Daphnia pulex: one gene and its partners. The protein of the gene in region 1 interacts with the protein of each later gene in a biochemical or structural test. Links are inferred from orthologs where the notes say so. Each region holds a gene or a part of one and is shown in the gene's direction. Other genes may lie near its edges.

Evidence for each region.
Region 2: the proteins of cyclin-dependent kinase 7-like (region 1) and general transcription factor IIH subunit 3-like form a complex in vitro, tested with the Homo sapiens proteins (2 studies listed by BioGRID). The link is inferred for Daphnia pulex from reciprocal best matches to the Homo sapiens genes CDK7 and GTF2H3.
Region 3: of the proteins of cyclin-dependent kinase 7-like (region 1) and transcription elongation factor SPT5-like, one has a biochemical effect on the other in vitro, tested with the Homo sapiens proteins (2 studies listed by BioGRID, with this or other methods). The link is inferred for Daphnia pulex from reciprocal best matches to the Homo sapiens genes CDK7 and SUPT5H.

Annotation. Positions count from the first base shown.
Region 1 is NC_060020.1:943,484-954,404, forward strand, and holds cyclin-dependent kinase 7-like, read left to right. Parts: upstream 1-4,344; 5' UTR 4,345-4,418; coding exon 4,419-4,490; intron 4,491-4,550; coding exon 4,551-4,613; intron 4,614-4,684; coding exon 4,685-4,966; intron 4,967-5,047; coding exon 5,048-5,175; intron 5,176-5,239; coding exon 5,240-5,417; intron 5,418-5,488; coding exon 5,489-5,661; intron 5,662-5,715; coding exon 5,716-5,857; 3' UTR 5,858-5,893; downstream 5,894-10,921. Other genes in the region: nucleobindin-2-like, read left to right, coding at 37-162, 285-752; cAMP-regulated phosphoprotein 19-A-like, read left to right, coding at 1,292-1,366, 1,571-1,681, 1,845-2,042; DET1 homolog, read right to left, coding at 2,406-2,912, 2,970-4,118; NADH-quinone oxidoreductase subunit B 2-like, read right to left, coding at 5,963-6,166, 6,226-6,435, 6,513-6,616, 6,689-6,839; glycosylated lysosomal membrane protein A-like, read left to right, coding at 7,274-7,390, 7,492-7,749, 7,803-8,003, 8,067-8,294, 8,360-8,797; ankyrin repeat and LEM domain-containing protein 1-like, read right to left, coding at 9,157-9,317, 9,384-9,513, 9,573-9,778, 9,855-10,897. UniProt on the Homo sapiens protein: Serine/threonine kinase involved in cell cycle control and in RNA polymerase II-mediated RNA transcription. Cyclin-dependent kinases (CDKs) are activated by the binding to a cyclin and mediate the progression through the cell cycle.
Region 2 is NC_060021.1:11,066,111-11,076,331, reverse strand, and holds general transcription factor IIH subunit 3-like, read left to right. Parts: upstream 1-3,518; 5' UTR 3,519-3,653; coding exon 3,654-3,669; intron 3,670-3,737; coding exon 3,738-3,933; intron 3,934-4,008; coding exon 4,009-4,336; intron 4,337-4,400; coding exon 4,401-4,659; intron 4,660-4,718; coding exon 4,719-4,825; 3' UTR 4,826-4,938; downstream 4,939-10,221. Other genes in the region: uncharacterized protein LOC124194693, read right to left, coding at 1-95, 156-302, 392-632, 725-1,648, 1,707-2,135, 2,217-2,555; oligoribonuclease, mitochondrial-like, read left to right, coding at 5,322-5,426, 5,489-5,620, 5,684-5,713, 5,772-5,992, 6,052-6,172; succinate dehydrogenase cytochrome b560 subunit, mitochondrial-like, read right to left, coding at 6,271-6,515, 6,583-6,803, 6,867-6,926, 7,019-7,032. UniProt on the Homo sapiens protein: Component of the general transcription and DNA repair factor IIH (TFIIH) core complex, which is involved in general and transcription-coupled nucleotide excision repair (NER) of damaged DNA and, when complexed to CAK, in RNA transcription by RNA polymerase II.
Region 3 is NC_060017.1:4,112,649-4,123,809, forward strand, and holds transcription elongation factor SPT5-like, read left to right. Parts: upstream 1-4,452; 5' UTR 4,453-4,641; coding exon 4,642-4,707; intron 4,708-4,763; coding exon 4,764-5,158; intron 5,159-5,229; coding exon 5,230-5,367; intron 5,368-5,428; coding exon 5,429-6,128; intron 6,129-6,209; coding exon 6,210-6,668; intron 6,669-6,729; coding exon 6,730-7,263; intron 7,264-7,334; coding exon 7,335-8,120; intron 8,121-8,198; coding exon 8,199-8,459; 3' UTR 8,460-8,656; downstream 8,657-11,161. Other genes in the region: sentrin-specific protease 6-like, read right to left, coding at 618-986, 1,055-1,325, 1,426-1,562, 1,652-1,982, 2,051-2,179, 2,252-2,400, 2,509-3,188, 3,279-3,714 and 2 more; dnaJ homolog subfamily B member 9-like, read right to left, coding at 8,746-8,898, 8,972-9,207, 9,287-9,436, 9,601-9,721; zinc finger CCCH domain-containing protein 4-like, read left to right, coding at 10,279-10,358, 11,046-11,161. UniProt on the Homo sapiens protein: Component of the DRB sensitivity-inducing factor complex (DSIF complex), which regulates mRNA processing and transcription elongation by RNA polymerase II.

The DNA of each region.
Region 1 (10,921 bases):
TATGTATGTCTATTCCATATCCCTTGTCCGTATTAGCTACCTCCACATCCTGGTATGATGCCAAACCATCCCAGAATGCCCAACGTGCCTTATGGTGTAGCACCTGGTCAGTATGCTGGTCAGCAACCTTACTATCCTTCTCCTGTTGCTCAGGGGAAACCGGTAGGTTAAATTGTTTGTTTTTCGTCTTTCATTGTTAATGCATTGCATTAGTTTTATGGATTCAGTATTAAGGGTGTGATAAAAATGAAAAATTAAAGTCAATCAAAATGTAAATATTCTAGATAACTCCTGAAGAGGCGATTAGAATGCAACAACAGCAGTATGCACAACAACCTCAGTTTGCTCCGCAGCAACAATATTATGGACAACCACAGTTCGCTCAGCAACAGCAATATGCTGGTCACCCACAACAACAGTATGCTGCTAACCCACAATATGCTGCTCAGCCGCAACAGCCTCAATTCGCTCAGCCTGGACAGCAGAATTTCCAGCAACCGGCTCAGCAACAACAACAGAATTTCCAACAAGCATCTCAGCAACAACAACCGATTCAACAAGTACCACAACAACAGCCAATCGCTCAGCAGCCGGTTCAGCAACAGCAAATCCCTGCTCAGCAACAACCTCTTGTCCAACCGCAGGTTCCAGTCCAACAGCAGGTTCCAGTCCAACAGCAGGCCCCAATTCAATCGCAACCGGTTGCACCCCCGCCTGCCCAACAGCAAATACCAGCTGCAAAAACTGTTTGATGACATAAATTAATTGCATTTCAATTATCAAACAAATTGCTTGTCTTATAATATTTTACGAATCGACGAAAATACAATTATTAAAACAAATTTCAACCATTTTTTAAACAAAGTTTCTATAATAAAAGAATAAATAAATAAATAAAAATTCTACAGTGAGCTGAAATAATTCATTTGTTATATATCATTTGTTTGAATATTGGTGGTCATAAAGCATGGCAATAATGAATGGAATCTCAAGGCGCAGTTGATAGCAAACAACTAATAAAATTTAGGAAATAGACTTAGAAAATATCAAAATAATAAAAAAAAAGGTTTGGAATAAATAAGGCAGGAATAAAGTAGCCTAGTTCAATTTCCATCCATTCCCTCCCAACCCCAACCCATTACATGTCGTCCAGTACGTTCGTACCTATATTGCCTTAATGGTATTGCAACGTCGCATTCTGCATTCATTTTACTCTTTTGAGAAAGTCGAGGGGGACTGGAGAAAGAGTCCGCAGCATAAAACCGTTTTCGGAGCAACTGCACAAGTCAACATGGCTAGCGAAGAAAGTTCGACCATTCCCAAGGAAAATCAAGTCACTCAATCCAACGAAGAAACCGAAACCATGGTAATTGCAAATCATAGATTTTGGTTTTACATAATTGATCTATTAGTAACTCGTGCATGTCGTTTTGCTCGTGTAAACATGTCTATGCTGCACGTATGTTTACTTTACATGCTCTCTTTTTTGGTTTTTTTAAATTGTTTGGTCATATTGTGATTTTGTTGAAATCAGTATGTTCAATTTATCTTTTGATATATTTCATAATAGGCTTCTCAAAGGGATATTGAGAAATTGGAAGAAGAGAAGTTGAAAGCTCGTTACAATGCCCGCCCTGTAACTGGACACTCAGCATTCTTGCAAAAGAGACTTGCCAAAGGCGTAAGCAAACTTTTTTTTTATCTAAAACAACTAATTTTGTTATTGCTTTTGGCTGTGTTTTGTGTTACTTTCCATTGTGCAATAATATGAGAAAGTTTGAATGCAATCTGCCAACTGAAATGTTTTACCAACTAATTCTATTTCACTTATAATTTTATTGTAGCAAAAGTACTTTGACTCTGGAGATTACCAAATGGCAAAACAAAAAGGACCAGCTAAAATACCAACTGCAGCAACAACAGCAGTAATCCCACCTGCCAATCTTGGACACCCAACTGGGGATGCCATTCCAACTCCGGAATCTGTTCCTACCAGGAAAACATCCATCATTCAGAGCAAGTTGGCAAGTCCTGCTATGTAAAAAGAGCAACATCACCTGAAAGTCTTAACCGTTCGCGGGCATGAATTTGGTATCGGGCAGTTTGTATACAATTTGGTGTAATATCTTCATGATCGTGTTACGTTTCGGTGTCTGCATCAGTTTTTTTTTTTTTTTTTCCCTTAAATCTTTTTTAAAACATTTTTTTCTCAATCTTTGGCCGCGCTCTTTACTATTTTACCGCCTCTCTTCATTTTTTTTCCGCTTGAAATGATGAGAAATAACCAGGAGTTCCGTAAATCAGAAGACGCTAGTTAGACTCCTTTCCCCCGTTAAAAAAATGAAATACATACAGTGGCACCACTTCAATACAGCACAAATGATTTGTATTTTTAAATCATGAATTTAAATGTGACGAACGTGAAAATTGACTACATATTCGGAATTGGTTCTCTGAACACTTATGGCAAATGGATCTGTTGGATGAAACGTGAAAGCAACAAGGCGACGGGCAGAAGAAGGCGGAGCTGGCCGGCCAAGAATACCAGCATAAATGCGAAACCGCAGCAGTCCAGATTCACGGACGTAGAAACGAATGGGGTGCTCTCCACTAGTCTTTGGACGCTCCATGAGCGAAACCCATTTATCGTCATAGGAAAACAGCTGCAAATCAAGGTAAGGCGAAGAGGAATAGGATTGTGCTGAAATGGGAAGTTGTGAAAGAAGTCGTTTTGTGGCTTCCGTCTGCCCACCAAAGCGAGCGCTGACAATGGTCTGCTTGAATCGTTGATGAATGACGTTTGCAAATACGTTGCTGGACGGTGATCCTTGTGTTGCGTTGCGTAGTAAATCGCAAAAGTTCTCGAACAAGTTCAGTAGTTCCTGACTTGTGTTTTCATAGACGTTAATAACCTGTAAAACAATAATACGTGGGATTAAGTTTTTTTCTTTTAATTATAATCAAGATACCTGTGCGTTTTCCATATTGTAAACGACAAAGAAGGCCGGTTGCGTATTTGGGTCTGGAGCTCGTAGTGTAACCACATCTTCACTAGCATATTTCAGAAGCAAATGTGACTCATCCAACAACTGCATTTTCCAGATTCGGAGTGCGCGAATGTGATCAAAGTTCTGATAGAACTTTCGTACGTGAAAGAGATTCCCTTCGGCTTCAGCCATGTTGATTGCTCGTCGGTAGAGAAACACTAGTAAACGATGCTTGAGCGCGTTGACAGTTGCCTCTCGAAACGGACGAACCAACTGACCCGAAGGCCAAAGTCCCCGTACTTGATTGATTAACCATTCGTCATCGTCGAAACAAAATCGACCTATAGTTTTTACATCAGCAAAATAGCCATCGTGTGAAATTTTAAAAATGTGTATCGTTTGATGCTGGACAGAGAGAACTGCTAGAGTGTCTTCATACAAGTAAAGTCCTTGGTTGTGTGAGAGAAAGATTTTGTCGGTCTTCATTGTTCTAGTATCACAGAGCCTTCCATTGACGATGTCAACGATGTGAAGTGAGCAATCTTCTAGTGGAGAACGAGGATGAGGAGATACGGATTCATTATTACGGAAAATATCAAAAAAATTTGGCTGGGGCTCTTCGGGAACGTACGAGGCTGAACCGACAATAACAAATCTTCCGTCACCGACAAAGAGACTGCATTCGCGATTTAGTTGTTCACCAACAGGAGTTACAGCAATAGTATGCTTTAACTGGAAGAATTTAGAAAATACTTTACTTCTTAAATTTACAGCTTCATTGGTATCATTTCCAACAAACTCTCTCGTTCCTGGAACATCTGTAAGTAAATCTTCTACTGCACTTGGTCCAAGATATTTGTAAACTTCCACTGAAGTTTGATCTGAAGAGAATGCAATAAAGTACTTGCCGTTGGGTGTAAATTTTCTCAAATAGCATGGTGGCTTTTCTATGTTGACAATTGTAAAATTTGGGACAACACTTTGATAAAATGATCGGCAAATGTGATAGTTTCCGGGTTTGACATGAGTCTCTCGACGAATCAGTCGAATTACAACATTCTGCGAGGGAATTTTTCTAGGAGTCAACTCGAACTCACCATGGTCAGCCTGTCTATATTTGGGGTTCATCATTTTCAGAACCTTTTTTATTACTCGGCATTTTTACTACGTATCTGCAATTCCCATTTTATTCGCCGTGAATTTTAGAAGTTTCAGATTTTTAGTGATAAAGCACATGTGAAATAGAACTGAAGCAGGTTTGAGATGTCAAAATCCGAAACATTTTGTAGAACAGATCGATCTAGCGGTGGTAATAGAAAGATAAACAATAGTTTTTCACGCCACCTGTTGACGAGTGAAATTCCATTTTAAAATAATCGTTCTTGACGGGTGATTAAAAGTTGAAAGAAACTTTGAGTGTATGAATGAAAAATGCACGTGAGTGGAGAAAGAGAACCTAGACTTCAGCGATATGAAAAGATTGAATTTTTGGGAGAAGGACAGGTAAGGTTTTGATTGGCACTGTCTTTTGTGTATGTTCAACTGTTTTATTTTGTAATTTAGTTTGCGACAGTCTACAAGGCGAAAGATACTCTAAACGATAACAAAATAGTTGCCGTTAAAAAGGTTTAAAAAATGTGTTTTCATTTCAGCGTTTCCGGTTCGTTTATAAAATACTAACACTATTTCTGTTCAAGATTAAACTGGGTTCACGAGAAGAGGCTAGAGATGGAATCAATCGAACAGCTTTGAGAGAAATCAAGTTACTCCAAGAACTCAAGCATGACCATATAATTGGTTTACTTGATGTCTTTGGTCACCGTTCTAATGTATCTCTGGTGTTTGACTTTATGGATACTGATTTGGAGCAAATAATCAAGGACACAACCATCATTCTCACTCCAGCACACATTAAAGCTTACATTCTTATGACACTTCAAGGACTTGAATATCTCCATCTTCTATTTATTCTTCACAGAGTAATAATAATAATATATATTTTTCCCCTGTACATTATGACAGAAGTATGCACATTCTTTTTTTTTCAACTACCATTTTAGGATCTGAAACCTAACAATCTTCTTGTTGATCGTCAAGGAATACTGAAACTTGGTGATTTTGGTTTGGCAAAATCGTTTGCATCACCCACTCGTATCTACACTCACCAGGTTGTGACGAGGTGGTATAGGTAATTTGAAGAAATGCAACATAAATATTCAGCTGAAATTAAAATTGATCACACCTGAAACTAGGTGTCCAGAACTGTTGTTTGGTGCTCGAATGTACGGTACCGGTGTTGATGTATGGGCAGTAGGTTGCATAATGGCTGAACTTTTGCTTCGACTCCCCTTTTTACCTGGAGAATCTGACTTAGATCAACTTACACGTATTTTTACAACTTTGGGCACTCCAAACGAAGAGAATTGGCCAGTAAGTACATAAAACAATTTTGAACTCAACCGTCTCCCACCTTTAAACTCTAGTCATATTTCCTTGATTAGGGACTGCTTTCGCTACCAGATTTTGTTCAGTTTAAGGCTTTCCCCGTGATTCCAATGCGGCATATTTTCACCGCCGCCGGAGATGATTTGCTGCAGCTTTTGAGTCGTTTTTTGGCATTGCATCCTTTAGACAGGTGTACTTGTAGCGAAGCTTTGCAAATGCCGTATTTCAGGTATGTATTTTGATTAATTTTTAGATATAAAATTCTAAGTTTCTTCCTTAACAGCAATAAACCAGCTCCAGCTCCAGGATCATCTCTACCTCTACCTGCATCTCTAAGTCAAGCAGCAGTCGACAAAAGCGGAACAAAACGTAAAGTGACGGACAACGGGGAGGGAGGTTCATTAGCGAAACGTTTAGTTTTCTAATAAGTGGTTGAACCAATACATGTGTTTCTAATATAACCTCTAGGTTTATTTCCACCACTCTTGTTGATACAACTTTACAATTTCAGAAGCTTATGACACATTTGCTTATTTTCTGTACCACATCTGAATAGTCTTCATCCGTTTTACTTTTTTCTGTAACTGAAGGATGCCGTACATCAGCGCTTCGGCAGTAGGAGGGCAGCCAGGGACGTAGATGTCAACTGGGATAATCCTGTCGCAACCACGCACAACAGAATACGAATAATGGTAGTAGCCACCACCATTAGCGCAGCTTCCCATAGAAATTACCTGGAGATAAATAAATAAATTCATGATGCCTAATATCTGTGAGAAAGTGTTCCGGTTACCCAACGAGGTTCGGGCATCTGATCGTAAACTTTACGTAAAGCAGGAGCCATTTTGTTGGTAAGTGTACCAGCTACAATTATGACATCAGCCTGACGCGGAGAAGCACGAAATACCACACCATACCGATCCATGTCATATCGCGGAGCTGCAATGTGCATCATTTCTACAGCACAGCAGGCAAGCCCAAAGGTCAGAGGCCATAAAGATCCCTGAGAGCGAAAGTTGAATATTAAAATTTTTCCAGCTAATCCTTAATGATTAACTTCACATAATCTTTAATTTTTACCTTTCTTCCCCAATTGAGAAGATCATCAAGCCGGGCAACTGCATACTCTGCCATATTGTTGGTGTTTTGAAATGGAGAGTATGGTCTCTTTTTATCCAGGGCAGCTAAGAATATTCAAAGATAAGATGTTGGTAGTAAGAAGTGATCTCAAATGCCTAAAATGGAAGGAAAATTACCATTTCCTTCAGTTCCAGATTGGGGAACGGTGCTCTGATTCCGTTTCAGTACGATAGAAGTCATGGACAAACTCGACGGTACTGAGACACTGCTGTTAATCCCTAAGGACTTCACTAGGGCGCCATTCAATGTTCCACGTAGGGCAAGCATATTCTTAAACTGTAAATTAATCGATCAACAAAGTAAAAAACTTGATTTCCAAGAGTCGCCAGTAAATATTTTACGGCTACGCTCTACAGTTCTGGGCACTAGCAGACAAATTTCTATGAGTAAAGAATCAGAGAAAAAGAAGGACAACGTTGTCAAATTTAATTAAAAATTAATTTAATTTAATTTCAATTAATTTATAATATTATTTATTTGAAATTTATGTTTATGTAAATTTATTATTTATCATGATTTGCATGTTTACAGTGACCCCGAGGAGTTTCGTATTGCGTAACGAAGTTCCCTATCCCTAGGAATTTATATCAAATGACTCAGTGGGCGTCTGCTGGCTTTGAGATTTGTGATAATTCGAGTCCTTCAAATTGGTTCTGAACTTTAACAGATGAACAAGGGATTGAATTGATGGCTTGAGAAAAATGACTAATTTAGTACTGGTGTTTGCTGCTTTAAATCTATTACCTCTTTTTGTGTTGGTTTTATCTGCAGACTACTATACGTTCTTGGATGGTGAACAAAAAAATTACGATCGTAATGTAAATATCTTGTTTACCTACACTTGTTTTTCAAGCTTCCTTTCCTAGTTTATTTGTGACATTGCTACTTAACACAGCAATAAATCATTTTTTGTTTACAGGTTACCACTACAATAAACCCAAAATGCCCCACAAATGAATGTGTGAATTTCACTCTTGTTCATGTTCAACAAGAAGGAATTGCTGATGTTCTCCATCACATTTGGACCATGGAAAATGTTCCCACTTTCTTTTACGCCAGAACAGAATTGAATACTGAAATGTTGATTGATTGGGAAAAGATGTTGTCAGGAAACTACAGTCAAGCCATAAGCTTTAACAAGGAACCACAATATTTTGCTGCAGTTCTTATATTCAAAGTATACAAATACTTAAATTTACACCCTTACAACTACTTAAACTCTTATTGCAGTTTTTTATGTATAATGATCTCAATGATACTGGTGTGATTCCAGAAACAGACAACTTTGACATCGTTTCATACAGTACCAAGAAGATGTCATGGGAACTCAAATCATCCAACTGTTCAGGGAATGTTTCTGCTTCTGTGGCATTCCGCTTAAGCAGCTATGATGGAGTAGCACTGGATTTCTCTTCCAACATTGAGATAACTGTAATTATAACTTCAGTTTAATTGTCATTACAAAATTTTATGATAACATTTTTTACAAAATAGTTAACAGCATATGGAACTCGAGGTCGAAGCCCCATACTGCCTCACTTAGCCTTCACAGAGAATTCCACTCAGGTAGACTTCGTCTTCGATCACGTAGAAACTAAAGAATCTTTTACCAACGCACGGTTGGCCATGGAATTGGCAGCTGTTGTATCCGAACCTGATAGTCGGTTTACTCTCAACGTTTCGCAAAGCTTAGACGATGAATACACTCCTGGCGTCTTTAAGGTAACCCAGTAATTCATATGAATTTTTTTAAATGTTGAAGTATCAAATTTTGCGTTTATTTGTAGCTCATGGAAGTTCATTCAGCCTTAAATCAACACTGGATTCAATGGCGACCAGTGTGCTACACCTCAACTCAACGTGATATCGGAGATTCCACTGGCCTCTACCAAACTGAAATAAGAAATGTTTCGGACGATAATATTCTTGACAACACGCTCCTGGAGTGGTTATCATTGGATTTGGATACGCGCTTTTTATTGATGAAGGGTTTCAATGTGTCTTTTGGCGTTGAGGGTGACGGTTTTTATCGTGCTTCGAATTACACAGCTTGGACCTTGGTTACTGGCCACGGAAGACCAGTCGGCGATCAGTTCTCGCTGATGGTGATATTAGTCATGGCAATCGGATTAGGGTTGCCCGCAATCGTTCTCATTCTAGGTGGCGCAGCCATAGCCTTGCGAAACCATAGAAACAGCAAAGATGATTTGTTGCTGAGTGATTGAGTTGATTTGGATTTTAACCAAAGTGAAACTCGATTATCTTAAGACAAATGATTCGCTTCCTTTCTCGGTTTCTCTCCACTGTTATTCTGACGTATTTCATAATCTTTTCTGTCTTGAGCGAAATATTTGCCTTTGTGTGTACATACGATATCGAAATAAAAAAGTGAAACTGTACAACAGAAACTAAAGTTGCCTGAATATATAATCAAAACTTCGAAATGAAGAACACAAATTAAATCCTCGAAATATACGGTTTGATAAAAGAGATAATAATATTGCCAAGAATATTGCAGCTGCGCGAGCTTGAACAAAATTGTACTGAGATAGCCACATTGCACTGCAGAACTGCGTAGAGGCTGCTATAAATCAACTGGACGGATTTGTCTCTCTCCTTCGTGGAGAAAAATGTGGAATGACTTGTAAAGCAGAAGGCATCCCCAGCGTCGTTTGTCCGAGTTCGACCACGACGTACAAATTCCATAGTAGTCTCCACGCTTTATATTCGTGATGGTGCTAAGACCTAAAGATGAAGAGAATGGATTATGTCGTCATAGAAATATCTTTAATTAATTCAATCAACTTTTACCTATCGCTTCTATCATTGCGGCTTCGCGACAAAATGCTTCTACTGGCAAAGAGTTTTGAAAGACGTGAATTGAAATGACGCCGTACCCATCGTTCCAGATGTCTAATATTCGCTTAACTTTATTGCTTACCTAAATTAGAGCAATCATGTTATCCAATATTCTAAATAGATTTGTACCGAGCTTTATACTTTAAGAAACGACTGTGGTCGAGACCGAAGTTTAATTGCCTCATAAAGATGTTCGTGCGGCCTATTTTGTTTGCCCTTTCCTATGTAAAAAATGCTGGATACAAAGCGCTTGAACAATTTCTGTTGGTCCTGGGTTTCGTTGAGTGGCAGATTGTGCGTGACTCTCGGGTCTAGAAGAAGATAATTAAAAGATTTTTTCGCCAGACCTATTGTGTCGAAAAAGAAAAAAACATATTACAAAATTAAATTTTTAAAAATAAGTTAGCAATCTTGGTATATTACCCTCTCTCCATGGTTTAAGCGGGTCAGGACAGGTGAAATGTGTAACCAACAATCGGTCTAAATGCGTAGCTATTTTTGTATCGTTTTCTAGCCCCGGATAGTTAAGCAAAATAGTCTGAAGTTCTTTGGATAACCCAAGCCTCTTTGGTGAAGGAACATGCGCAGCCTGTTCTCTGCGCAACCGAAAAAACTGTCGGAGGTAAACTTGCTTGGTTGTTGGTGTTATGGGTCCAGGACAGCCACCAAGTGATTTTAATTGGTCAAACAAGAGTTGTGAGTCCATTGATTCTCCAATCCAGTTGACAGAATTTCTTTCGTCAGAAGAAGTACACAGAGCTTCATTTAGGGTTGCATCTGTAACAGAATCCTGATTCACAAGGGGGGGATAGTGCCACTCGACCAATTCGATTCCTTTTTCAGTGTCGGAATATATGTGTTCTTCTACTATAACGATCGAACTGGTTGATGCGTTGCTGGTTACGTCAAGAGTATTGCACAGGGCCACATTAAGAGCGTTGTTGGATGAGCTAACAACAACTGAATCACTATCTAGAGCTGTAGTGCTCAAAACAGAATCAGACCCTAGAAACCCAAGGTCATTACAGCTGAGAGTGCTGTTGCAAAGTGATGTTCCCAACTCCACTTCCCGATGCTTCACAAAAATACACTGAACAGAGTCTTCTGCTGGATCAACGTGGTCATCTTCCATGTATGAAGCAAGATACTTGAGGATGCACCATTGATTCTTCTGAAGAGCCAAATCCCATGCATTACAACCTTCTGGATCTTCCAACCAAGGATCACCCCCATTTACTATAAGAATTTTTAAAATTCCAAGAAACCCCCAGCTAGCTGCAACATGAACTGGTGTTACTCCTTCAGTGGACTTGATATTCGGGTTACCAAAGTTAGATAATAAAAGCTGGACGATCTCCATGTGTACTGCTTCATCACCAAGTCCACAAGCCCAATGCATAGGCGTGATTCCACTATCTGTCAGGGCATTTACGTCCACGCCCATCCTTAGTAATCGCTGGACATTTCTAAGATCGAAAAAGAGAGATTAT
Region 2 (10,221 bases), on another chromosome or scaffold:
ACTCATCAAAAGCCTCAGATCGGGCTTGCTAATAAGGAGCCTCAAGTAATGATCCTCATCAATAGAAGAGAGTAAATTTGAAACAAGCATTTGCCCTGTGTTATAATCAAATCCGGTGATATAAATGTTTAACATCAAATTGAATAAGTTTATACCTTCAAAATTTTCTAAGGAATTGAGATCATGTCGTTCAAGTGAAGAACGCATTTTTGGTGAGTTAAGTTGTTGCTTTTGTTCCATGGCCAAGTCATACGTAAGGCTTGCCACCTTTCGTAACACATTAGATTCTTTTTCTCCAGAAGCTAAAGTTTATGGAGAAAGAGGAAAAAAAAAGAAATATTATTATGAAATGGTTAGATAGTACACATCATTTAAAGTAAAAAATAATTACTGGAAGGATACGGAATTCCGAGATCACTAGGCTCGCGTCTAGTGGCATTTTGAGTGTGACTAAGAATTGCTGTGGCTGGAATTTCCACTTTCTTATGCCTTGTAAGAGTAAATGGTTGTCCATTGTTGGGCACATTAGAAGATCTATTAGCTCCATTATTGTTATGCCCCGATGAGGAGCCTCCATGTCCTCCAAGGTGCATCATATCTGGCATGTCAATTTCAATCTTTGTAGTGCTTGCCTGTATTAGAAAATAACAAGGAAAAATTTGTCAGCCCTTCATTAAACATACAATCTACAAGTTTTAACAAATGACCACAAAATCAAACTTACTGACTTGTTTTTCTCAGCATATATTTTGAAAATATGATATTTTGCTGCTGCAGCGTAGTAGAATAACAGACTGGGGACTTCGAGGGAGAGATAATTTAGCTGTCCTCTAGCAAGATGTTGATGTGGAGTTACTTGGGCGCAGGAACTCTTCTCATGCTTGGCAAAAAACTTCTTGTCAAACTGCTGGAAATTGTCCTTGATTTGTAACTGTTCTATTTCATTTGACCTTGAACACAGTTCTGTTGCATATGATGAAGTATCAGCATCCAATTCAATATTATCACTTGTCGGTTGTTCAAAACCACTTGACAATGAAACAGTTCCAGCATTTTCAAATTCTGAGACTTCTCTTAAACTGCAAGTTTCGGTATTGCTGTCCAATGGAAGATCAGGTACATTAATGCTATCCGATGTCTCGGAAACGATCAGCAGATTTTCATCACACGTCCAGGTGTGGTGATGAGCGATGTCTTGGTAACTGGACGGATCTTCTTCAGGCTCGTCCACATCAGCATAGAGAGTTTCTGATGTTAACGACTTCCCTATAACTATAACTTTGGACAATCGTTGAGGTGAAAAATTCTGTTCTTGTTGATCTCTTGTCCTGTCATCCGACAGTGTAGACGACGAACCACTGTTGTTTGGAACCTCATTTTGGAAAGGTGGGTTTGGTCCTTTTTCGGTTTCGGTTCCACCATTTTCGGTTCCAACCCGCGGATTCGAAATAAGCCGCCCCTTGGATTTTTGACTAGAACTACTTTTGTTGCCCATTGCTGCGGAGTCGGAGCTGCTGCGATTTCGGAAAAACGGAGAATTCTCTAATTCAGAGTTAGCCGATTTATCTTCGGGAATCGACGAGCTGCAACTTTCAAAGTCGCCCAAGTCGCTCAAGTCATCAACCAAGTTTCCATTCCAATCTTCCTGCTGCGTCCACAATATAGAAAATAATGTCACATTATTTTAAAAAATTTATGAATTCTACCTTAGCGTAGCGGGACTGATCGTCGAGCGTCAGAGGTTGATCGTTTATTAGCAACAAGGGCAAATCGTTTGACAAGCCAACGTTAAGGGCTTCGATGGTGCCTTCCGGATTACGATCATCTCCGTATCCATTATTTTCGTCGTTCCTTTGTTTATCTAATAAATCAATATTAACTGGAAACGCTTGTTGTTGATCAGATAGTGCCGCGTCTTGCAGCACTGGTTCCGGATAGCTAGATTGGCTGTTGGCCTCCACTCGAGCCGCACTAAATGCGTCAAAACTGTACGTAGTTCTAAACGATGTATTAGAACGATCCGAGTCAGATTCTAGCTGCTGTCCGTCTGGAGATCGATGAGAGGGGTTCGGACTGCTGCAATGAGGAGTGATTGGAGATAAAGTCGATTGAGTAAGTGAGTTTCGTTGTTTGGCCTAATTTAAACCAAAATTGAAACATGACGTTTGCTCTTGACGTGTGTTATTTACAGTATAGTAACTAGGGTAACAACTCACTTTGAAGGCGTTGGTTCGAACAAGGCGAGGCAGTTCGGAGTCGGGATCGATTGACGAAATGGAAAGGAGACGGGGACCTGCAGCGAGCTCCGATTGATCCGAGGTAGACAGATGACGGCCGAGTTTATTCAAACGCTGTCCAAATTCTTTGACGCCACGAACTTTTTCCACAAACAAGCTCTTCAACGCTAGAGCTTTAGTGTGTTTGTTGGTGATCAACGACAACTGGTCAGCCGACGTAGCTCTCTTCGTGGAACTGCAGCTCGGCGATTGCGCACTGCCGTTGCCGCTGCTGCAGCTGCTCTCGTTATCTGGCTCACAATAGTCGTTGGTTGCCATAGCGACCTTAGGATCCCTGTGTACATGGGCACAGTAATATCCCTTCCCGATCACCTGGAAATAAGAAAATAAGGGCTAGACAAGAATTTTATTACACGTGGTCGGCAGATTCCACTTCCTAATTTTTGTTCTCATTCTCTCAACCATTACAATGTTACGACCAATAACGAGACGAAAGCTTTTTATGTGTGATTTCTCATCCGATAGAGCGTACGATTACTAAATCGGCGTGTCTCCTACACATGATGATAATGACATTCCAGTCCAACAACAAAATAAAACTTACGTCACGTCGGTCAATACGACGTACGGGAGGCCAATTCTTGTCAGAGGCAACAGGTAGAAATGAGACTGGAGCCTTTTTAACACATAGACACACACAAGTCACAATACAGAGACTGAGTTTGACACGACCTAAGTAGTTCGCCCTGATGGCAAGCTCTTCCCGCCCGCTACTGACGAGATTTTGTGTAATATAAGAGGAAGGGTTTTTAATCCAGTAGAGGGCGATCAGAGAGCATGCATACAAGTAACAAAGAGAGAAAGATAAATGAAAGATAACCTTGCCTAGGCTCGCGCGCCGTAGCCAGACAAATATAGCAAATAAATAAAGAGGAAGCGGAAAGGGGGGAGAGAATGAGGGGAGAACTCACTTACGTACTATGTTGTGCTATTTCCTCATTTTCAAATAAAGGTGTGGGATATTTGAATTGTCGTTTCCTTTTTTCTTTATCCACTATAGCTTTATGAAAGACTCATGATATTTCTATATCGCGCATTTTTCTGGTATAGTCTTCATAAATGAAAATAATTGCGTCACTAGGTCTACACATGTCCAAAATGTAATTTTACATCCAACAGGTATCCAACTTCCAACTACCTATAAATGCGGGCGATGTGGCCTGAACGCGCGATGCCGGCGATGCGCCAGCCGCCAAGCCCGCCAGGCGGCCAGGCCGGCCGGGCCTAATTTTGTAACCGAAACACTGAGAAGAGGCTTCATTAAAACTTGTTGTTTACATCGAGTAGTGTTCTCTTCCTTCCAGTTGTTAATTCCACTTTTTTTTAAAGATTAGATAGAATAGAATCTCATGCAAAATGGAAGATAAAGAAGGTGAACCGTAGAATTTCATTTGTTATAAAAAAATTGTGGTGGCTAAAATATCTAAATTGTGATTGCAGAGCGCATTGAAACTCCGTTAGTGGCGATTGTGATTGATGCTACTCCTGCCAAAAAATTCGCAAGTCAAGCAATAATTGATAATGGATCTACAATGATGAATAGAATTTTTGATGCCTTGATTGGATTTGGAAATGCCCACTTGATGCAAGGCTCTCACAACAAACTGGCAGTCATTGCCTGCAACAGCAAGTCTACGTAAGTGATTTAAAAAATTTTATCTTACAAGACTTATTCATAAGACAATGACCATCTTATATATTTTTTTAATAGAAAGTTTTTGTACCCTTCCGAAAATGGGAATTCTAAATCCTACCATAACCGACCTGGGCAGTATGACATGTTTGCAAAAGTTGATTCCGATATTCGTCATGGCCTTTCAGAGCTAATCTTGAAAGATTCAATTGACCATGATTCTACTACATCAGACTCATTATTAGGGGGAGCTATGGCTCGTGCTCTGTGCCACATTCATAAAGTTCAAAGGGAACTTAGTTTGAGTCATCAGTTAAAACCACGCATACTTGTTGTTAGTGGCAGTTCTGACAGTGCTTTGCAGTACATGACCTTTATGAATGTGTTCTTCACAGCTCAGAAAGAGGTAATATGCTTACTTTAAAATCAATATTTTTTAAGAAAATAGTAAGAATGTTTCTCTTTTACAGAATGTTGTGATTGACTGTTGCATGATGGATACTGATTCTGGATTACTACAACAAGGCTGTGACATAACTGGAGGGCAATACTTACGAATTCCTACTGTTGTTGGATTACTGGAGTATTTGCTGTGGGTTTTCCTTCCAGGTCCATCTTGTAGATCCAAAATTGTCTTGCCACCTCCTACAAAAGTTGATTACAGAGCAGCTTGCTTCTGCCACCACAAACTAGTTGATATTGGATGGGTCTGCTCTGTTTGTCTTTCAAGTAAGTTAATGGTTTTTATCATTACTCTTCACTTTCAGTAACTTATTGCTTGTTTCTAGTTTTCTGCAAATTCAGCATTCTTTGTACCACATGTAACACAGAATTCAAACTTAATAGACCTGCAATCGTACCCTCCAAACCGAAGAAGCGTCCTCGAATGGAATAAATGGAAGATACAGTGAAAAATTAATTATTGCCCAAAAAGCTCTGACTGAAGCTCAATTTAGCACTTTGCTGTAAATTTCCGTGGCATACAAAAAGAAATTGTTTTGTACATGACCATTCAATGTTTCTTGGGTTTCTCTTTAGTCTCTACTGGTCTCTACTCTATACTCTCTAGTCTCTACTCTTTATGAAGAAAGAAAAAAAATTAAGACTAAAAAGACTGATTGTTATAACTATACTTTTCTTAGTGGCAGAGATATTGTTAGGTTAGTTCGATTGTTAGGTTATCTCTGATTTAAAATTTCGATTTTTTTAGAAAAAATTAACAATTTAAAAAAAAAATGAAAATTTTTAACAAAATGAAAATGTAGCTTTACTTCACCAAATTTTGAATAGCTTTTCGTCTGCTAGGTATCTTGAAAAGAGACAAGGCAAGGTTAACTATATAAGAGTTTTCAAAAGAATAATAATTTAGATTACGTACCGTTAATTTCCGGATGTTTACAAATAATTTGAGATTGGTTTCACGTTACATATACGCTCGCACAATGACCAACGCAGCGTTAGCCGCTAGAAACAGAATCGTATGGATGGATCTAGAGGTGAATTGGTTTCCAAGGAACAAGTCAAAAATTAGTTTTTTATAAGCTAATTTTCTTTATAGATGACGGGGTTGGACGACACCAAGGACCACATTCTTGAAGCTGCTTGTCTTATCACTGATCAAGACTTGAACATTGTTGCTGAAGGTCCTAACATCATCATTAATCAACCTGATAGCATCTTAGATGGAATGGTTATATCTATTATATTATATTATTCTTATATATTATATTATATATTCTATCTTATAATATAGGGAGAGTGGTGTAAAAAAACACATGGAGAGGTTTCAAATAATTCATTCAATACTGTTTATCCAAATCATAACACTTACTTTCTTTCAGTCTGGGTTAACAGAAGCATGTAGAAATAGTAATATCAGTGTTGAAGAAGCTCAAGAAAAGCTTGTTGATTTTATTGGTCGTTATACTAACCCCGGAGAATGCCCGCTGGCTGGGAATTCCATTGGTGAAGATAAAAGATTTCTGTACAAGTACATGCCCAAACTCATAAACCATCTGCACTACCGGATAATAGATGTTTCAACCATCAAGGAATTGGGAAGGTAATAAATTAATTTAAACTTTTTTTTTTAAATCATTAGCAAAATACATCTGGAATTAGGAGGTGGTATCCAGATGTTTTGAAAAATGCTCCCCCAAAATCCTTAACTCATAGAGCCATGGATGACATAAAAGAAAGTCTGATGGAACTGAGCTTCTACAAAGCAAATATTTTCAAATGAAAACACATTATTTATGTAACAGTCTACTACCTTTATTCACACCCACCCACAAATCAAACTGTAAATACAATGCAGTTATTGGATTGCATGTACTGTGTTCAAAGGGATGTCAAATATAATGCTAATGAAACAGCAGCTGCAAGGACAACATACCCTGTGCTTTGAATTCCCTTAATTGTGAGGTTGAAACCAGTATCCCACACAAGGTGTCTCATTCCATTAATCAGGTGATAGGAAAATGGAAAAGCAATGAGAAACTTCCCAGCCAATACAATAAGTGGAAGGTGTGCAGCTTCCAACATTCCCAAATAATGTGGAAATGATGCAGGCAATACCATGGCACCTATCAGATTACAAATAAAGCATATTAAAACATATTTATTGATGTAAAGATTGATTGATGAAATTACCAATAGCTAGACCATACATCAGTCCATTTTGTGCAAGACCAGTAAAACGATGTGTAATGGACAAAGCCATATTAGACTGGAATTGGTAAATAGATAGATGGGGAGAAATTGGCCGTTGCAACCTCTTATTCTTATCTTCAAAATTTTCATTTGAAAGGGGTTTAGCACGATTAGCTTCGACGCTTTTAATTCCGAACGTAGAGGCTGACACAGTGTGTTGCCTGCAGCAATTAATAAGGGGAAACGTTAAAATATGTTAAATCATCCTTCACCAAAACATCTACCATGATTTGACCGGAGCTGCTGTGAGTAGCCGGGTTTGGGTAGTATTTTTTAAGATGGTACTAATAAAAACAAAATTAAAAACATATTTAGAAAAAAACTGGTTCTAGATATTAGGAAAGTTTTAAAAAATTGTTTTATATTTTATTTCTACCGTAAAAGCGCCATATTTGTTATTGCACAGCAGTAGCGAATACTGATTTCGTTCGCGAGGTTGACGGATCAAATTTATGGCAATAGTTTCAATTACTTAACAGTTTTCAAATTTTTTATTCTAACATAAGAAAAACTTGAAAAAAACAACAATTTTCATATCCTTTTCAAATTCTGTAAATAATAAGTGGATAATAAGAAAATTGGTCGTACGCGTCGTACGTGTACGTCCCTCTCCCTTTTCCAACCCATGCCCAACCTTTAGAATGCTTGGGGCGTTTCCTACTGCCTTCCCAATGCTAAAGCATAGTTTTTATCCTAAAATTTAACTTTTTACTCAGCTAACATTAGTTAAAGAGAAATATTTCAAAACTGGTAAGTGAACTTTGTGTAGCGGTTTTCATTCTAACAGAAATTTATATGTAAAAAAAAGTATTTTGAAACGGATTGTTGTTTTGAATGCTCAAAATAGAACAAATTTCGCTAGTCTCCCTTGAGATGGGCAACGGTATATATTTTGGAAGTTTTCCTCTGAAAAGTACTCTGGTTTCCAATCAACACCCGGATAAATCTTTCGCCTTTTACTAAAGATTTCCGTGGTTGGGAGCAATTGATGAGTCTATATGACTAATTTTTCGAAAGCCTGGTCTTCTGACCGGGCATCCTAACAAATAAAATAAATCGGATAAGTAGGAATCTGAAGATTAATTCAGGTTTTTAAGTTTTTTCATTGCGATTGCGTCGTTCTATATATACGCTCATAGCAATATTCTATTTATTCAAATAGGTGATGAAACAACAATATCTAAAACTCAAAATTGCTTTCTACAATCAAAATATTTCTTCAATTTGTTTGCTTAATTTAGATCAAAAGGCAGTCCAAATTCAACATATAATTAGGAAAGTAAGGAAACCAATTTTAATGATTCCACAATCAAGTACAATAAGTTTCATACCGCATGTCACATTAAGTAAAATAGCGCTGGACCTAGTGCAGATTAAACATATCTGAATACCCAACAAATTACCTAGAGGTTAACTAAGGTAGGGTGTAAGATAGGGTATTCCCACCCTCAGTTATAACTCAGGATAATGGCAATAGCAATACTCAGACGTGTCAGTCGAAAAAGTTTCGAATTCCCCAGATCCCTCACAAAACATTCAGACAGCGGCAAATCAATTCACACCAGAATAAGTAAAACCACGTCGACACTATTGGGTCGTAGTAAACTCTATTTGCTCGAATATAATATTTTGGTTTACACAGATTTGTCAAATCTCAATCTGTATTGCAATGCAGAATGACGCAACGGAATATTTTATTCTTGGTTTGAATAGACAACATCCGAAAAACGTCCACGTTTACAATAAACAAGGCAAAGTCCTTTAAAAAATATATACCATAAATCCGAATATGAGTGACATTGCCCAATAGTAAACAAAAAACTCGCAATTCTGGATAGGCTAATTCGGTAGTTTTGTAGTTTATGAAGCAATTAGCTGTCTGTCAGCCCATACAAAAAAATGAAAACTGAGAAGATCGTAAAAAAATAAGTTAGCTGCCATTTATCTTCGCTGGCCATTTATCAAGTTCTTCGACCTTGGTCAAGAATAAAAATAGAAAATTTTAACTGCTGAAGTGAAACGTATTAAAGCGGAAAAAGCAGCATTTGTCTCGCAATCCTATCAGCTGCTGAGTATGCAAATATGCAAGTATCACGTTAATTACATCAATTTGTTCTTCCGATTGTAACTGAATACTGACTAAGACAACTAACTATAACCGGTTAGAGACCAAAAATTAATTAACTCAAACATTAAGCAGTAAAACTGGATTCCTAATTGACTTAAAAAAATGGTTTCCGTCGACAAACAAATCACAATTTCTTTTTTTATAGCATCAAATTTCAGGTTACCAGTACCTAGAGGCGAGACGGTATCATATGAAAGAACTTTGTTTTTATTGAAACGAAAATTTAACAAATATATTCATGAACCAAGCTGCATTGAGCTTAACCAGTTGGTAAAAAAAAATCAATTATTGAGAAGTGAGGACAAGAGAATGAGGATGGAGAAAGCTCGTTATTTGTTAGCACAGTTTTTGCCTTTTGGCATGATTTTCTGATCTGATTTGATTAACCCTTGTGATATTTTTTGTGGTAAACAGGAACTGGATAGTACACAGGGGGTGGATGATAAACTGGACGGTAGACCGGAACTGGGTGATAGGAACGATGTTTGTAATATTTCTTCAAGAAGTGTTCGTCTCCGGCCAGATCGTGGATTTCACCACCAACCGCCTCGCCCACCTCAGCTTCCATTGGATTAGCCAAAGAGACGGTCGCCCAGACCATCACAAGAGCAACAAGAATCTTGACACAAGAAGAGATATCAAAAGTGATCAAAATGCCTTTAAAGTTTAAAACATCAGCGACTTACCATCACGAGCTTCATTTTGCGTAAGAACGAAAGAACTGTCTACGTTACAAGATCTTGGACAATATTGGAATGAATATCAACCTGATGACCACCTCTATATATACAGCAAGACCCACCTCCCGTGTGTTACCATTACATAATTTGTTTCGAGCTTCTCGCAGCTCACGATGATTTTGCGTTTTTTGTAGCTCAGCCTTGCGTTCGGGAAGCTTCCGATGGCCATCAAAACGACCTTGACAAAAAGGCTGAAAGACAAAATGTTGGGTAAGTTCAACGATTCTCCCAGGTAACCCTTGCTTCCGTCTCAAAATCCGAACTATTTGAAATACCCAACGACACGCTTTGATAGGGTTTTCAATGCCAAGACATTCACTTTCCTCGGGCACACATGTATTACGTATTTCCTATTTTGAAACGTATTTCCTACAAAACTTGACACGACGGCGCGAATAATATGGGATTGACCTTTTGAGTTTTATTGAGTTTTATGGCATCAAAACAAGGCCGGTTGTCTGAACGCTACCCATTAGGGGCTGAAGGGATTAGTGCGACATTTTTTTTCTCTTAAAATAAAATGAAAATCGTGCATGCTGGTGTTGCAATTTCCCAACAGCCTAGACTACATCGTCGTTGTTTCCCTTGAACACAAAAATGCCGACTGCTCATGGCTTTCAAATTTACCTGAACGAGATGCGTCTCAAGGTTAGGTGGCATGGACGTTGAGATATATTTGGGATAAGAAGGCGGAACTCATTGTTACCTTGC
Region 3 (11,161 bases), on another chromosome or scaffold:
AAAAAAAACCCAGTGACAATTAAGCCACTTTCGTTAGCCGCCGACATGTCATCGACATTCGTACAAGCAGATCGTCTTATTCGAGCCTTTCCTTTCATGTTCTCAACAAAGGCCTTCCGGTTGTACCTACATCCAATTAGACATCAATGAGCTCACGTGCCTGTGACATACCAAGGAAAAGGTGGAATATATATGCCATCTTATAGGCCCAGTTCTATTACCAACGTGTGCAGTTTTCATAAAGCGATTATCGATCTTTTCATTCGGAATATAACGGTGACGGCTGAAAGATCACATGCGGAATGGAATGGATACCAAGGGAAAACAAACAAAAGATTTCCGTAGAATAGCCAAGAGTATCAATACCGATTCTGAAAACTACCGAGCCTAACATTCTCTTCGCTACCTTTTATGTCCGGTGGCAATTAATTTCATGGCTGATGAACGATAGCTAGAGCACGACTTTGATATTCTGATTCTGACGATGTGTTTGACGTCACGTTTTTGAACAAACTTTGAAACCTTTCACGTTGGTAACCAGTTTTTTCTCGCAGTCGAAACATTTTTTTTTTAGTTTAGGAGAACGACAAACCGATAACAAAAAAGAAAAAAAAAATCTATTTCTCCATTTCATTATTCGCCTCTTGGTCATACACGATATTTGATGGGCTGGCTCCCTTTTCAACCTTTTCTTTATCGAGACACACCTCAGATTTGCCGTCTTCCTCCATCGCCTCCGTCTTATTTTCACTATGAATTTCACCATTTTCTTTATTTGTAGCGGCCGCAGTCTTATTACGGTCTTGAAGTGCAATTCTGACGTCATCTCGAGGTAACAATGTCAGAACTTGGTCTGCTGAAGGATTCGTTTCCTTGGTGAGCCGTATCAATAAGAACTGGATGTTTTTTCTTTTCCTTCCGGCAATATGAGGTGGAAACCAATTGCTTAGTTTTATATTCCGTAAATTATAATCCAGAAATGGACTCTGAATTGATGAAATAAAAACATTAATTCAGCAAAATAAAAAAATTAAATAAAAAATTTTTAACTTACCATCATAAAGTATTCTGCGTATTGAAGCACAAATATCCCGCAATCGTACGAGTTATTTTGTTGAGGCACATCAAGGCATGCCGATATCATCGAGTCTTTAGTAAAGGGGTTGGTTGACGGTTTAACGGCGTCCCTTCTGAAAGCAACAATTGATTTCTCATTTGGCTTCATTTTCTTTACTTGGTGTTCCACCATTAAATACTCGCGAAGAGTCGTAGCAACTCGATTGTGTGCGCTTCCCGCCAATGAATCAAAAAATAAGATGCAAGGCCTAGAATACAAGAATAAAACATAAGAATGTCGCATGAAAAACACTACACTAAAGGCAAACTGTAAAGCATTATTAAAAGACAAAAATGAATTTGAATTACTGTTTGATAGGACCAGCAATCTCTGGCAATTTTTCTACTGGAGTGCGGTCGATTGCACATGATAATTCTTCTTCGTCGCTCTCAGCTTCGTCTCTTTCTGTGTCAACATTCAACGTAATCTGGTCATCTTTGGTCGACTAAAGAACGGATAAGAACAAGCAAACAGAACAAATTGGTTCGTTTATCATGTCGACTCGTTTAAACTAATAAAGGCAGACATCAATACCTTTGAATTTGAGTTAACAGGCGTAACTGTGGTATTTCCTATGTGAAACGATTCACCGTTCACGGCCACAAATGACCTCTGTAAGTCGGCGGTTGTTTTCTTGGAGTATGTTTGTTGGGGGCGAAGTTTGATGGGTTGATTGTCTATGGCGGTCACCGGTCCTGATAACCAAGGAAAACAGACAATGGCTAGAAACCAATGGTTACGCTCGTTGATGGGTATCACGAGATAATCCTTTTCAAAAATGTCCACTTTCTTTGTCCACGATTTAACTCTCGAATGACGTTTCTCCTTTATCGAAAGGGAATCGTCATCTTCAATTGGATGTTTCCTGCGTAAATTCATCTCTAGAGTAATTACACTTCAAAATGGTTGTTGTAATAGATTAAGAGCTTGTACCGTCCATTGACTTTGGGTGGGCGAGTCGTTAACCTTTGGTAGAAAAACGATGAAAATACGTGGCATTTCTTCTTCAGACTTTCATCAATTTTAGTACTGAAAACGTATCGAAGATAAAAGTCGATGATACTGCAAAAGAAAAACAAAGCAAATAGTTAAAGGTAATTACAGAAAAAGACAACGGTGCAATGCCAAATTTACCTGTCATTTAGTAGATTGTCCTGATTTAAACAAGCATAATCTTCAGTGGTTACTGAGAAGCGGTCGGGTCCATCCGACCAGGAAAACATTGGAGTCACTGGCAAAACAGTTCTTGCGAGAGATTTACTGGATCCCCTGGTTATTCGTATCTAGAAGAGAATGAAGACTGATTTTAGGCACAAATTCGGCTTTCAACTATACGAAGTACACACTTAACCAATAGCGTAGTTATTGGTATTAGCATTACGACTACTTACTTCAACTTTGCTAGTGTCGTCTTTGCCACCATTCAGTTGCGTTTCAGTTGTCGAAACACTCGTTTCTGCTGATACAGCAGTGGTCGCGGGGAGACGTTTAAGCGCATCACGAACTTCTGGGGGTGAGGAAATAACCAAGAGCCGGTTGGCCTCGGCCTGATTAATTTCGTTGTAAACACCTTGAGGAACGAAGACTTGTTTGATTGCGTTCTTCGCTGCATCGTCCAACCCATCGGGCAGCAGTGTCAATCGTTTTTTATTTTCGTCTTCGCTAGCAGAATCCCAATATGGGCCACTTTTGGGTAACCCTAATTTTGTTGAAAGCTGGCGACACCAGCTTGGACCAACATTTAGGAAGATGACTTGAAGCTTTCGGCTGAAAAAAGCGTCCACTTTTAATAGTTGCTGACTTGGGATAGCTACATTGACGCAAACAGCATTTTTTTCTGATGGCCCATCGTGGTTGTGAAAAACTGGAGCTTGCAGCATAATTCCTTCGGATGAGAATAACACACGTCCCACTGGAGTAATCTTATATGATCCAATACGAACAGATCGGCAGTTTACGGCAAAGAAAGGTCCATTCAATCCACCTTCTTTCCAACGGAGCAAATCACTAGATCCAATTTCCTCTTCTGCATCAATAGGCAAATCCATTGAGACACCATTTAAAGGTTCACCTAGAAGAAAAACAAAGAATTTAAAAGAAACAAAAAGTAAGATAAATTAATAAGAAAAACCAGCAGAGGAAATAAATGTGTTTAACTAACATTCTTTAATATTTGGCTGTTCTTGAATCACAATTGAAGGTTTAACATCCAATTTTTCAGTTGATTTGTCGGTACCATCACATTTGAGTTTTTTGGTTTCCTGAAAGGAGTCATCATCTTCATCGCTACTCAGTGTTACACACTGTGGCTCCTCAAATTTGGCTCTACTCTGTCTTGAAGGTTGAGCATTTTGAGTCCGAGTGCGTCGGTAGCCATATGATGAATCATTTGACATCTGAGAGATTCCGGATGATTTGTTTCCAGGTAATGACTTAAGATTTGAAGTGAGAGGTACCGTTTTTTCTTTTTCAAAGACGCGCATGCACCTCATACATTTATTAGTGGAAACCAAATGTCCACAGTGGGGGCAATTAGCACTATCTGGATCTGGTGATTGCCCACTGCATTTCTCTTCTGAATTTGTCTCTTGTTTACCCTGTACAAAAACACAGTTTACTTGTAATAGAAAATGTAAAAAAAGAAACAAAAACTTACTGTGATCCCAAGTTTCTGAGTGGATTTTTGATTGATCACTTTGTGACCAACCTGTTTTCTGTATTCTTGAAGTGTTATCTTCTTGATGCCCTTACTATTTGAGTTATGTTTCAGTAGTTTCGGTTGAATGTTTTCAGAAACTAAAACAGCCTTAATCTCCGGTACCGAAACTGACCGCTGGTTTGAATTGACACTAAGTTCGGACTTGGAACTCGATTCCCCCATACTAATTATAAAATCTCAACCATCTGGACTGAATATCAACAGTTCTACGTCAGTATGATTTCATCCTGATTTACCTGTCACATGTGCTATCCGAAAAGTACATTTACCTATGAAGGCTATGATATATGACTTCGTTAGATCTGTGCAGTACCAGCAGTATTGACTGTCGTCTCATGTGCTCTCCCGTTTCAACTAAACTAAACCAGGTAGGCCAAGTAACGACAAAATACTTAGTGGCAAGTGGCGCTATGGTACCCCAAACAATATATTTGAATTGAATAATTATTTCAGAAATGAATGATATAAAACTACATAAGATAATTAATTTCCTTAAATTTATTGAATTTTAAAATGGATAACTTTGAAAAGCCATAGGCCTATTTTACATTTAATGAAAACATTTGCGAAATACTTTCGAATCAAAGGATAGATGGCGTGTAAAGACTCCCAAACTTGTTTATCCATGCATTGCAAAATTTCCTCTGGTGAGTGACGCAGATGAATTCAATTTAGGAACAACATAGTTGGAAAGAAAGAACAATTTACCTGTTTTCTATCTCATTGAAACGTTGTAGCATTGTTTGGTTTAAGGTGCAATCGTTGTTTTTCTTCTTCAAAAAAGTATTCAGCAAGCAATTAAAACATGTCGGACAGCGAAGATAGTAATTTTTCCGATAGGAAGGAAGCCCTCAGTGATGCTGAAAGTTCGGTATGGTTTACACATTTCCATTTTACTTGACGAAATCTAACCTTTAAATTTTGAAGGATAATGACTCTGGTGGCCGTAGTCACAAAGCAGTAAACAAGAAATCTCTGAAAAAAGACAAATCCAAAAAGAAAAAGAAAAGGGATAAAGGTGCAAAAAAAAGTAAACGCCATAGAGGCAGTGATTCAGAAGAAGAAGAAGATGACGAAGAAGTTGAAGAGGAAGAAGAAGATGAAGATGAAGAAGAAGTTAATGGAGGAAGAAGAAAGCGAAAGAAGAGTGATAGATTTGGTGGTTTTATTCTGGAGGAAGCAGAAGTCGATGATGAGGTTGAAGATGAAGAAGAATGGGAAGATGGAGCTGAGAACTATGGTCTGGTAGGAAACGAAGTTGACGAAATGGGGCCCACAGCGAGAGAAATTGATGGGAGACGCAGACAACAGCAAATGTGGGAGTAAGTTGTAGATAAACACAAGCTTTAACACATTTTATCCAAAGTATTAACAATACATTTTCTCTCTACAGTAGTTCAAAAGAAGAGGAAGTAGAGGAATATTTTCGAAAGAAATATGCAGATGAAGCTACTGTTACTAGACACTTTGGAGATGGTGGTGAAGATATGACTGATGAAATTACCCAGCAAACTTTGCTACCTGGAGTCAAGTACTGTATTTAATATTTTTTTTTTTTTAAGGAAAGAGTTAACTTACAATTCTTATTTCAGAGATCCAAATCTGTGGATGGTCAAGTGCAGATTGGGAGAAGAGAAGCAAACAGTATTTCAACTGATGAGAAAATTCATTGCTTACCAATTCACAGAAGAACCATTGCAAATCAAATCAATTGTGTCTCCTGAAGGCGTCAAGGGATATATCTATGTTGAAGCTTTCAAACAAACCCACGTTAAGCAGGCGATTGACGGTATCGGTAGCCTTCGCATGGGTCTCTATGCCCAGCAGATGGTCCCAATCAAGGAAATGACCGATGTTCTACGAGTTGTAAAAGAACAGAGTGTAATGAAGCCCAAATCATGGGTTCGTCTGAAGCGAGGCATATTCAAGGATGATATTGCCCAAGTTGATTATGTGGATGTAGCTCAAAATCAGGTTCATCTAAAATTGATCCCACGAATTGACTATAGCAGGCCACGTGGAGCTCTACGAACTGCTCAATCTGATGCAGAAGCAAAGAAAAAACGCAAAATTCGTCCACCGTTAAAACTGTTTGATCTGGAAGCTATCAGAGCAGTCGGCGGAGAAGTTACAAGTGATGGCGATTTCCTTATTTTTGAGGGGAACCGATACTCCCGTAAAGGTTTTCTTTACAAAAATTTTTCTATGACCGCGATCCTTGCCGATGGTGTTAAACCTACATTGATTGAACTCGAGCGTTTTGAAGAGGCTGTAGAAGGGGTTGACATGGCCGTAAGTGTTATTCCAATTGTTTTTTATTTTTAATATTTAGGTCCTTTTCTGTCGTTAACTCATAATATAATTCTTATCTAGGTTCGAATTGTATCGGGTAAAGAAGAAGCAACCCATAATTTTGCTACAGGAGACGCTGTCGAAGTTTGTGAAGGTGAACTTATTCATCTCCGTGGAAAAATTGTGGCCATTGATGGCAATAAAATCACGGTCATGCCGAGACACGAAGATCTCAAGGACCCCTTGGAGTTTCAGGCTCACGAGTTGAAAAAGTATTTCTCGATGGGTGACCATGTTCGCGTCATTGCCGGCCGCTACGAAAACGATACAGGACTCATTGTTCGTGTTGAGGACAACATGGTTGTACTCTTTTCAGATCTTACAATGCATGAACTTAAAGTTTTGCCCAGAGACCTACAGTTGTGCTCTGACATGGCAACAGGAGTCGACTCCATGGGCCAGTACCAGTGGGGTGATCTGGTTCAACTTGACGCCCAGTCTGTTGGTGTTATCGTTCGATTGGAGCGGGAAAATTTCCAAGTATGTCTTGAACGATTCTCACACTTTCAGAGATCTAACTCTTGTTTTTTTATTTCATTAGGTTCTAAATATGCACGGAAAAGTTGTAGCAGTCCGACCGCAAGCTCTACAACGTCGTAAAGAGAATCGCCAAGCCGTAGCGTTGGATTCCGAGCAAAACACCATACAACGAAAGGATATTGTTAAAGTGATCGATGGACCTCATTCTGGTCGTCAAGGAGAAATCCGTCATCTTTATCGCAACTTCGCGTTCCTTCACTCCCGAATGATGCTTGAGAATGGTGGCATATTCGTTTGTAAAACTCGCCATCTTGTATTGGCCGGCGGTAGTAAAGGTGCTGCTTCAGGTTCACCAGCAGTATCGAGTTTGGGCTACATGTCACCCAGAATTTCTTCACCCATGCACCCGAGCGGAGGAGGAGGCGGGGGAGGGGGAGGAGGTGGAAGAGGCGGTGGACGTGGAGGAGGAGGTGGTCGTGGAGGTGGGGGTGGTGGATTTGGACGAGGTGGAAGAATTGGGCGAGATCGAGATTTGATTGGAAAGACCATTAAAGTTACACAAGGTCCATACAAAGGTCACATCGGAATTGTCAAGGTAAATTTTTGAAAACGTGTTTTTTCCCCTCTAGGAAAAGAATAAAGCATCTTCTTTTTTCATCCTTTCAGGACGCAACAGATTCAACAGCCCGCGTCGAATTACATTCTAAATGTCAAACAGTATCCGTTGACCGAACTCGAATTGCCGTTGTTGGAGGACCCTCCAAATCTGGCGCTGTTTCTACGTACAGCCAAACTCCTGCTTCACAGGCTGAAGGCCGTGATACACCCATGTATGCTTCTGGATCTCGTACTCCGATGTATGGATCACAAACTCCACTGTACGATGGTTCACGTACTCCTCACTATGGTGGTATGACACCTTCTCATGATGGATCCCGTACACCTGGACAATCCGGAGCTTGGGATCCAACCGTTACCAATACACCTGCTCGATCGACCGACTATGGAGATTTGGACAATTGGGATGATCAGTCTCCTTCGCCAGCCTATAACCCGGCGACTCCTGGGTCAGCCTACCATGTTGACACTCCACAAGGACCCTACACCCCTCACACACCAGGAACATCCTACGGTTCAGATCACACTTATTCACCCTACCAGCCCAGTCCGAGTCCGGCACCTTATCAAGCCTCACCGAGTCCATCCGGTTATGCTCCGACTCCTAGCCCAAGTACTGGGTTGCCATTCCATCCATCACCTGGAATGGCTTCAAGTTATACATCGCCATCTCCCATGAGTTATAGCCCTATGACTCCGGGTGTAGCTCCGTCACCTCTCAATCCTCAGACACCAGGGGCCGGAATGGATTCGTTGTCTTCTCAGGACTGGTATACCACCGACATAGAAGTACGTTTCAAGGATTCGCATAGTGATGCGGGACTCTCGGGACAGGTAATATTATTGATACTTCATATTAATTCATTTTCTTTTTCACTTAATAAATTAATATTTTTTAATGTGTAATTTTAGAGTGGTATCATCCGTGGCATATCTGGTGGTATGTGCTCTCTTTTCTTACCGGCCGAGGATCGAGTTGTAACAGTTGCTGGGGAGTTGTTAGAGCCCATCGTGCCAAGTCGGCGAGATCGAGTCAAAATCATTTTGGGAGAAGAAAGAGAAAGCTGTGGCCAGTTGCTTTCTATCGACCACCAAGAAGGCGTTGTTAAACTAGAATCTGGCGACGTTCGAATGTTCCAGCTGCGGTACCTTTGCAAGATGACGGCACGATAAAATGACCAGTTGCGTATTTGCGGGCCCCGACTTTACTTGGAACAAACAAACAAAATTCTTCACTTTCATTTGGGCTAGAAATTCACTGTAGCTTTGATGAGTTATATTGACGAGGGAACTTCAGAATGAAATGCCAATCGTTTTCATGTAACTGCTTGAAATAGTACGGATGAATACATGAAGTTTTCGAATACGGATAATAAGCAGTTTCCCATACATTCACATTGATTTTTAAACTCGAAAATTAAAAAAAACGGATAACAACGTAATTTATTTATAACAAAATTTATGAGCATTGCGTATAGGTAGTAACAACATTTCCGATCTTTTGAGTAACTGTTTTACATCCTGTCCCCTGATGTAAATCATCTGTGAAACCAAACATGGAATCCATATTATCAAATTGCATATCCATTCCACCAAACATATCATCATCATCCTATATAAATTTTAAAAAAGAAACATTTGGTAAGTTAGAATAAAAATATTTTGCTTAGTTTAATAAAACTTGCATTAAAAATGTTGCCAAAATTGAACATTGAGTCTGCTTTCTTTTGATGCTTTTTGTTGGTTGGAGAATGAAACTTGTGATGGAAGTCTCCAAAATGCTGATCAAACTGCATCATAAAATCATCGAAATTGAAGTTGTAAGCAAACTTTGAATGTTGATTCCCATTGTTTCTTGTGCCCTCTGCACCAAAATCATCATATTGTTTCCTTTTCTTGGGGTTGGAGAGTATTTCATAAGCTGTAAAATACATAGCAACAACAGAAATGAAATCTTAGTTTGTTAATTTTGAGGCCAAAAAATGCAAAACAAATGTTACCTTCAGCAATATCTCTAAACTTTTCTTCAAATGCTGGATTTTTGTCAGGGTGATATTTCAGGGCAAGTTTGCGAAAAGCTTTCTTGATTTCCCTTTCTGTTGCCTTGCTATCAACTCCTAGAATATCGTAGTAATTGCTGCCACCGATAGCTTCGATTGAATGTTTGGAAATATGTACAAGAAGAATAACAAACGAAGTTATGCAAATGAGTTTTCTCATGATCACTCAACAAAAGGAACAAGAAAACAAGGAACTCAACAAGGAAAAATGGAGATATCACTGCGAAAATGATAACGTGGATTATTTTGCGTACCTCGAAAGTTCTTATAGTCGAAATTGACTACGTATTTTTTAAATGTTTTTTTATTTATGAGTTGGAATGTGTTCATTCGTCTAGAAGATTGAAGATGCTCCTCCCCTTTATTGCGCAACATCACCTTATCCTTGGGCACATTAGCCGATTAACTATTACACTTCTCTAGGTTAGGTATATTATAAAATTTTGAATAGCTGAATTTCAGGAATAATTATTTAACAACACGATTAAAATAACTTAGATATTTTGTTATTAATTTTGTATTAAACGCAAGGGTGCGTTTTGGAAATGCATGTGTTGATGAACGGGCGATAGATGTCTCCCTCAAGCTTCTTTTCCGACGCATCAAGACAAGGAATTCTCAATCTGCGACGACTACCAGACGACGGTAGGCGATGAAATGCATCGTCCTGAAATCTGAAGCCAATTGCGTTCTTCTCGACTAAAATGGACAAAAATTGAATTCATCTTCCAACGCTAACTTTTCTGTTGTTGAAGAAAAGACGAAGGAAAACGGAACTTAACAGGAGCGTGTGTCGAACCACGCGGAAAGCATCATCACAACTCCCCAGTGCTCTCGAGAGAAACCCCAGGGCTTGCTCAATCGACTAGTCTCTGGCTAGACTTGCTTGCTCTTTGTGCCAGCGCCATTTTGATGTGCGCTGTCACCAAGTCATGGCTCTGCATGGTGTGTTTGCCAATGACCTCCAATTCGGCAAAGGCGTCGATTCTGATCAAGCTCAAGATGATGAAAGGTTTGAGTATATTCCTATCCTACCCTCCCTTCTCTGCCCTTCCACTTGCTTTCCAAACATCCGATTCTTAGAACAAGGCCTCGATGGATTGTCGAAAAGAAACAAGATTTTCTCCTCGAATTATGGAATTAATTTTCTTGATTTCACTTGGTTGATCAGTTTCTTAATTGCTGGTTATCGAAACTCCGTTAGTTTGGATAGTTAGGACTCTTGTTAAGTTTGTTCTTTATCATCTCCGTCGTTGCCAGTCCATCTTTTTTTTATTATTTTATTTTTCAACTCAAGCAATGAATGAAAATGCTTTACATTTAAGAGCATGTTCTACTAAGTAATTTGACAGGAAAATAATCGAAAGAATTTTATGTTTAACTCCGTTTCAGAATGAAATTCTCAATTTCGGCTGGTTTTCACGTATCACGCGATGGTCACGTGATCCATTATGCATGCCCTTCTTTTCACTATCACTCCTTACACTTAAAAATATTCCCTCGACTTGCGTCTGTGGAATGATAATGACATCCCGTTATCTCTTTTTCCTAAATTTTAACAACAGTTGGTTATTTCTCTAAAGTAATGTGAAGCTCTAATGGAAAGGAAAGAGATAAAATGATGGTCTTTATGCTACAATATGGAATGATGTGTACCAGGCCCAGAATGAAATTTAATTTTAGTTCATCTTCTTGTTAGGGATAACGTAGATGATGCAGATTTAGAGGAAGGCGAAATCGCTTCTGACGATGAAGAAGTCCCCCAAGAAGATAAAAAGAAAGAAGACAAAACGGAGGTTAAATCTACGGCGAATA